Linked DNA regions of Mus musculus. The protein of the gene in region 2 purifies or fractionates together with the protein of the main gene of each other region. This does not show direct contact. Links are inferred from orthologs where the notes say so. Each region holds a gene or a part of one and is shown on either strand. Other genes may lie near its edges.

Evidence for each region.
Region 1: the proteins of Nudcd3 (region 2) and Klhl9 purify together in Homo sapiens (co-immunoprecipitation; 3 studies listed by BioGRID and IntAct, with this or other methods). This does not show direct contact. The link is inferred for Mus musculus from reciprocal best matches to the Homo sapiens genes NUDCD3 and KLHL9.

What each region holds. Positions count from the first base shown.
Region 1 is NC_000070.6:88,719,497-88,723,910, forward strand, and holds the start of Klhl9 (kelch-like protein 9), read right to left. Parts: upstream 3,013-4,414; 5' UTR 2,507-3,012; coding exon 653-2,506; 3' UTR 1-652.
Region 2 is NC_000077.6:6,106,236-6,110,049, forward strand, and holds part of Nudcd3 (nudC domain-containing protein 3), read right to left. Parts: intron 2,121-3,814; coding exon 2,010-2,120; 3' UTR 1-2,009.

The DNA.
Region 1 (4,414 bases), on a different chromosome or scaffold from region 2:
CTTTCTGGAAGAAAATATAAGGTCATTTTCACAACAGTTGAAGTTTCTATCAAGTCTAAAAGTTTATGTGTGTACACAAATTTTTGAGTGAGCATGAATATCTGACTAGTGTACACACCTATTATTTTTTCTCCAGTGAGAGAACAAATCCTGACCTGTTTCTTCTAGTTAATATTGTTACTATTTCTGTCTACCTAGGAAACTTCAAATATTCTAAGACTAATCACACAGCCTAGACAACAGATTGTCCAAAACTATCCAAGAGGGAGGTAGCTGTACCTTGGCAATCTTTATATTAGGTTAGAACAGGGGACCTCCATTTAATGTTTCAGTCAAATCAAATGTTTTAATTTTTAGTATAACAGACATAATTACACATTTACTAAGATCATCTATAATTTGACACATGTAACACCACAAAAAAAAATCTAATTTTCTATGTATCTTTTTTACTTGTTAAAACAGCTGAATATATTTAATACTTTTCAAAATGCACTTGTATAGCCATTTACTAAACAATATCAAGCCAAACCAAAAAAAAAAAAGGGTCTAAGTTACCTTTTTGTCTATTAACTGTAGCAATAAGGAGAAACAATACAAGGGGATGAACAAGACCACCCATGATACACTGAAAAGGTATTACACCTTGGATCTAAGAATGATCTGAAGGTGCTGAAAGAGGTGATTCTCTAGAAGGTGACCCAGGGTTTTCTTCAGGTGGAAAAACTGTGAGAGTGCAAGCCCGAATGCCACCCAGCGACTCAGGAAGATCAAAAACTTTATGCCACTCGTCTTTTTCTGGGTCATATTTCTGGACAATTTCTACCATGCACCGGTTATTCCAAGAATATCCACCAACAACATAGATTTTGTTTTCAAAGACTGCAACTCCAACATCACTCTGACCTCTCAGCATAGCAGCAATTGGTGTCCACTGGTCAAGAGTTGGCGAATAGTATTCGCAGCTTAGGACATCATCATAATCACTTGTTCCTCTGAAGTGGTTGCCACCGATGACATACAGCTTGTCTCCAACTGTACACATGCAATGCAGACCTCGGACTGTAGTCATAGGAGCCTTCTGTGTCCATTTGTCTGTATCTGGGTCAAAACACATGAGCTCATTTTGGAAAGTGTCATGAGTGATTCCTCCGGAAATATACATTAAACCCCCATATACTGTTCCAGCATGGCCATAGTGGGGTTCACTCATCTTTGCAACGTAGCTCCATTCATTCATTCTTGGGTTGTAACATTCTACTGTGGCCAGTTCACCAGCTGCACTGCGCCCACCAACTGCATATAAATGTCCTTTGAGGGCACTCAGGTGAAAGAATGTGCGCTTTTCGTTTAATGATGCCACCTGCATCCACTTATTATAACGAGGATCAAATCTGAAAACTGTATCAACAGCCGTTTTTCCTTTTGTATCATAATTACTCTGGCCACCAACTACATAAAGGAAATTTCCAATAACAGCAATGCCATGCTGGTATCGAGGAGCATCCATGGGCGCTAACGACTTCCACTCCTGCGCCCTTTCGTCGTACATTCGTAACTCTTTACTGACAACTAGCTGTTGTCTCAAAACTCCTCCTAAGGTAACCAAATGAGTAGAATCAGATCGAATGGCAGTTCTGTCCGACTGCATCACCGGCTGCATATACGGCATCATTTGGTAATTGCTTGCTTCCAAAAGTAAATTCACACAGGTATTGTCTGTTCTCATGAAATCTACTGTCTGCACATAGTTGATGAGATCCTGTGGTGTCATCAGTGGAAAGCGAATATTCTTCATTAATTTTGCGGCATAGTCCATCCGAGGGTCTTCCAGCCTCAGCCAGCGGCAGGCTGCCTTGAAGAGCTCAAGTTCCGAACAGTGCTTGAGACTATTGCTGGAAAGCACAAAGGCAAGCCGTTCAAAGGGGAGTTTCAGAAACTCCCCAGTATTCAACAAGGCAGGAAAGTTCTTCAGGATGAAATTATTTACGTATTTATCCACTTCTATAAGATTGTAGGTGTTAGCAATCCGGCCAACCTCCACACAGTTATCCAAAGAGACGCCTGATATAAGAAATACTTTACAAAAATCCAAAACCGGCAAGATCTGTAGAAAGCTGGCAGCTTCAAGAGTGTCCTGAAGATTGTCCATATTAAGAGACAGTTTTGCAGTATAAATAAAATCAATGATTTTCTTCAGACCAACTTTGTTCACCCCATGAAGCTTGATGCACATCAAATCTTTCTCTTTCATTCCTCCAGTGAACATGGCCTTGAAATAATCACTGGCAGACGCCATCATGGCTCTATGAACCGGGAAGATTTCCTCTCCATCGCCAGGTACCAGCGTCACGTCACAAAGTAGGCCCTCTATTCTGAGCTGATCAAAGCCTTGCAATACAACCGAACTGTGCGTGTTGCTGGTAAAAAACCGCGTAGTTCCAGACTTGCAAGGCTGCAGGTGGGCAGAGACGCCCATGTCGCCGTTACCCAGAGACACCTTCATGGGAGAAGCCGGAGCTCGCTGCGAGCTGCAGGCCGCAGACGTTACAAAGAGAACGCTCTCGGGAAACCCCGGGGCCGCCGAACCAAGGGCAAGCAAGCGGTCGCCGCAGCACCGCTCTGGGCACACCGACGTCCGCCCTGCAGCAACAGCAGCACGCACCTCAAATCTGCCAGGAGAGCGGGTGAGTCATCACCCGGGGCAGTTACGTGACCGCTTCACCTCCTCCGGTCCCGGGCTGTCGTCCTTCGCCGCTGCGCTCAGGGCGGGGGAGGGGCCGTCACGGCCTGCGCACCCCGGCTGCCGCCCTCCAAGGCTCAGCCACCCCAACGAGCTGCGGCCGCGTCCTCTGCGATCCCCGCTGTGTCGTCGCGGCTACGGACTTGGCTTGGAGCAGGGCCTGGAATCCCGACTTGGGCCTAGAACGGCGGCCTAGCACCGAGAGCCAGCCCGACCTTCCGGAAAGGCAGAATCCCAGGATCCCCCGGGCTAGGAGCGGCTGCACAGCTAGTGCGCTTGCGCGGCTGAGCTGGCAAGGGGGCGGTGGATGGGGGCAGGGCGCGGGCGGGACTGGGGGCGGGGTTCCGGCCGGCCAGCGAGGCCGGTGCAGGGTCCATTATGTAAGCTTGTAGGAATGCGCGTGCGTGTGCTTAAGCTTGCTTTTCAAGAGCGCGTTCTTTTCAAGATTTACGCTTAAGGTCTTTGCCAGAGCAGCAACGAAAGGCAACCTTTGTTCAAACACAAGAAGCCTGGCAGAAGAAATCATTGTATCGTTTTATTTATTTATTTTCTTCAAGAACAGTTTTACAGTTTGCGTCACACTCAATTAAAAATGTTGATTGTAAAAGGTTTTTTGTTTGTTTGTTTAACATTTAAGACACATGAGATTTAACTTGCCACTAAATTTTGGTCCTAATGATACATTTTTTTAATATTTGGCAGGAGAGATAATGCCTTCATAAATACGGTTTTCAGGGTTTTGTTTTCCAAACACTATTTTTAACTGGCTACAGTTTTCCAGTAGTTGAGCATGTTATAGTTTACTTTGTCCACTGTTTTCATCAGTGTACAAATGTCCTCCATTATCTTATGGACTCTGTAATAAGCGCAGATGATTTGAACACAAAACGTTATCCTGATTTGGATAATGATAATATTTGGTAGAATATTCAAGTCAATGTTTCCAAAATAGTTACCCTTTGCGTTTCCCTTGTGTTGAACTTTGCTTTTATAAGTATTTTTTATTAACATGCAGTTCTCTAGCTACTGGCAAATTTTAACTTTGATTTGAGAATAAGTATATAATTTGCCGTAGTTCTCTGTTCTCGAAGTTCCAAATCCTTCTAGCGTTTACTTGTATGCAGACTAAGAATATACTTACATTCTTATGCTCCACTTCCTGGCTCTTTTCTAAATGGCATGTATCCTACTGGATTTTTTTTTTCCAGTTCAAGATTTTCCAAAATTGGTATATAGAGAGCTTACTTACAACCTGTTGATGACCCCAAAAAAATGTATGTAATTTACTTAACTATAGGTGATTAATCTTCCTTTATTTCTCCTTCCTTCTTCTCCCGGTGGTTTCCGGCCAATTGCAGCAATCCCGGGAAACTAGTAGAACAACATTCTTTTCCCCAAACTAGTAGAACAACCTGTGGTCGTCGTTCCTTCCCCCCCCCCCCCCCAGGTGCCCTGTTATACCAGAGCTTTGTTGAAATGAGAATGGTCTTGAGAAGTTCTTCCCAGGAGCTAAGTTCTGGGAGGCTGCTTGGTTCAGGAGTTGGGGTAAGCCTTTCCTGAGTGGCTCTGACATGTCACCTGGCTGTGAAGAGGCACTTCCGAGAGATTAATTTCTACCTGTAGGGAAAGAAAGAACAAGATCACTTCCTGAGAAGGTGCCAGAGCAAACTT
Region 2 (3,814 bases):
CTGGGATTGAGCCTCACTGTGATGGAGACATGTAGATACAGAAGCCACCACTACACCATGTACTACAACATGCCCCAGGGATCAGTCACAGCTTCCTGCCCCACGGCCTACAACCAGTGCTATATCCCCCAGGCTGCTTTTTCTATACAGGCTTGTTTGTTGAAACACGGCAGGGACAAAGAAAAAAATGCAACACAGAAAATAAAACCATGCTACAGTAATGAAGATGAGTCAACACAGAGAAAAGCATTGTCTTAAATAAAAGGATGCAGGGTTCCGCCACGACATCATTCCTTCTGCAAGACTACCCACAGGATGAGGGCCGAGAGGGAGAAGACTGCAGGTGCACACACACCACGAGACTTCCTTCTTTAGGTGAGACAGCTTCCATGGGACAGGGATGTGCGCAGCCTAGACCTTGATGAAAACTTCAGGAACAAACAGCAAAGTGTCCTGGGGATCTTGTGACTACGACAGATTCTGCTCCTGGACGGTGACCTCTTGAGGGAGATTTCATCAACTTGATGACCAATGTCCAATCACATGTTCAGACTCTGGAGTGGGTATATGGGGTCCACTGCTGTCCCTTGACCACCATCATGGTCTACTCAGGCCCACAGATTAACTCCCAGTATGGACTTTTAGGAAGTAAACCAGAAATCCCTTAAATGCCTACAATGAACCAGCTCCTTTCTACACAATTGTGTAAGTTCCAAAATTTGCTCTTCCAATGGCTCCTTCCAAGCAAGTGGACATAGCACTCGGTGGTGCAGGGCTCTTTCCAGAGAACAGTCTGCCTTGGCTTCAATGGGTCTTAATTCTTGCACTTTGTATGGTTGGTTACCAGAGTATAGAAATTAGTGCTGTGACGTGAACACACACACACACACACCACACAACTAAGAACCAGGCAAATGGAGATGCCAGGCACCAACCAGCACAGAGAGAGTACGTAAAGGGATGGGACACCAGGGTCCTGGTCCTCTGGGCAGGTCTTCACACCCTTAGCTGGCGTCGCCACACAGGCTCTGAGCTCCAAAAAGCAGTCTAGTGATTGGCACAGAGAAATCTTCATTTTCTTGGACTCAATTGTAGTTGCCTTCAAGCTAGTGCATACGTTTTCCTTCCTGAGGCATGCTTCAGGGTCAAAGCTCCTTAGGGAGTGTAGTTGACACGGATCTGCCAATGAACTACCAACAGGCTGTGATCTCTTCTTGGAGGTACCCAGGCTTGAATGCAGCACCCCCAAAGAGGAGGTCTTGAGGGGAAAAAGTAGTGGTGGCTAGTCTCAGCTCATTTCAACAAGAATCAAAGCAAGGCAGCTGCAGTCAGAGGGCAGACAGAATCCTTACCACACCTGGGTGAGAGGCCAGAACCTCAGACTTTCTCCTACCATCTCAAACAGACCCAGTTCCTGCTGCTCTGCCCATAAAACTGAGGCAAGTCAAGTGTATTCACAAAGAAATGAGCAAGATGGCACACACACACACACACACACACACAGAGATAGACACAGATCAACAACAAGTGAGGGAACCCCATAGCAGCCCCACAGCCATGCCCCGCTGGCCCTCATGCAGGTGCCTGGCTCCACACAACAACTTAGCTTTGTCTGAGCCCAGCCACTCCTTATCCCCAATCAGAAGACAAGCAAGCAGAATAGCGTCAAAACAACAGCAAGCAGAGAGAACGGGGAGAAAGGAAATGCTGCCTGCAGTGCCTGGTTGCTGTGGAGACAGAACATGTGCTACCAGTAGGCTGGGACATGTCCCTCCTGCATGTCAAACACCTGCATTCAGTGTTGGCCACAGACACTGCCAAGCAGCAGCTGGCCCTGTACCTTCTCTAGAATAGTCTGAAGGTAGAAGGTCAGCATGGAAGGCCTGGTTCATCATGAAAGAAAAAAATGGCTAGGACTGATCAGGAGAAGTGAGTCCCTGGCATGCAGGGAGTGAGGAGGACAACGTCTCCATCTCCCCAATGGCGAGGGTTTCCTTTACTTCCGGTCATTAAAACTGCACAGCCCCTGGGGAGATGTTGAACATGGCTGGGTCGAATCGCTGGCCTCGGAAGGGAGAGCCTTCAGCATCCCACCCCTTCTTCAGCATCTCATGGACTTTCTACAAACAGAAAATAGAGAGATTAAAGGAGATCACAAGGCATCGCATGCTTTCTCCTAGAACAGACTGCCTGCAGGCACAGACATCCTGCTTCCTCGGGGCTTGTGGACTTGCCTGTTAGGCCGACTGGCCAGAGGACTGCAGGCCAGTTTGTGTCCAAGGGAGGCACCCACTGACTGCCAAGTCCTCTGCAAGACTGTTCTCCCAAGACTGAATTTCTAGCTTTCCAGCTTCAGTCTCTAGTAGAGCCCTGACTGATCTTAGTTCATCTTCGGTTCCTTTCCCAATAGGTCTGTCCAAGTTCCACACAACCCACAGAGCCTACAGTAATCCCCAGGGAGATGATTCAGATATGAAGCGGTGGTGCCCCAGCCCCTTAGGGACATGACTAAGGTGTGTAGAGGTGTTCTAGCACCTCTTCCCCAAGGAAGGAAGTTCTTGTCATTGAAAAATTCATCAGACAATACTGGGATTGACCGAGGATATGATGATACCGAGGAAGGGAGAGACCTCCAAATGTCCAGCTGTGGACCAGTCCGAAACACCTCACTGCTTTTAGGACACAGTAAGAGCTGGTAGACTTATGGCCACTACTGAGCTGTCTAGTCCTTGAAAATCAGAGGCAGATTGGAGTTGTGTGGCTCTAGGCTGTGTCCCTGTGACAGCAGCTGTGCCCGTGCTAATGGGCTAGCCTTCCTCTGAGCATCTGCCTTCCTCAGTTGCTACCATAGACGTACCCAAGAGAAGGAGATCTTCCTTCCTTCCTTCCTTCCTTCCTTCCTTCCTTCCTTCCTTCCTTCCTTCCTTCCTTCCAACCGTAAGAAAGCAAAGACTAACAAGACGAATGGCTGGAGACTGTCCCCCAGTGGAGCACCTGCTGCAGACAGCCCTGCAGAACGGGCACAGAGGACAGGTGCTGCTGCCCTTATCACGAAGATGACAGATTGAAAGCAAAGTGAAAAATTTTGAATGTCAGCAAAGTTACTGGATTCTCAGAACTATGGATTATTAAACAAAATCCAAGCTTCGTGATAAGTGAGTCTTGGCTTGTTTTTAAATCTAAGTGAAGTAGCAACAAGCATATCAAAGAAACTTAGTCCATAGTAGGCCTCCATCTTTGCCCATGAGAAGTGTGAAGCTGTATAGTCTCAAAAGAAAACAAGATGAGACCAGCCAAATAACCTAGGCAGGAGGCTGCTGAGCCTTAGCCAGCTGCAGGGTGAACAAGAACCTAGTGACTGTGTGGGACCCACTATAAAACGGACAATTGAGGGAGTTCAGGATGCCAAGATAAATGCATGGCCCTTTCTCCAGAGCCAAGGCAGAGAGAGATCAGACTACCCTGTGTGCCACCAAACTTACTCATAGGATTTAGTGACATCTATCTGTGCAATGTCTGTCACTGCTTATAAGGGGTAAGTGCTACCAGGCTGGAGGAATCCTAAAAAGACACATCAAAGTACAGACAGAGCAATGACACCTGTGTACGTCCACATAAGCCTTCTAGATGAACACTTAACTGGGGAAAAGATGAAGAGTATTCCATTTGTTGACTTTGGAAAGAAGTGACCTTATGGCAATTAAAGAATTAAAAAACGAAAAAAAAAAAAAAAAAGAGAGAGGTATATTACCACTTCAAGATTAAAATGCTTTAAAATACAAAGCACTGGTGGCATTAGAAGCACAATTTAAAA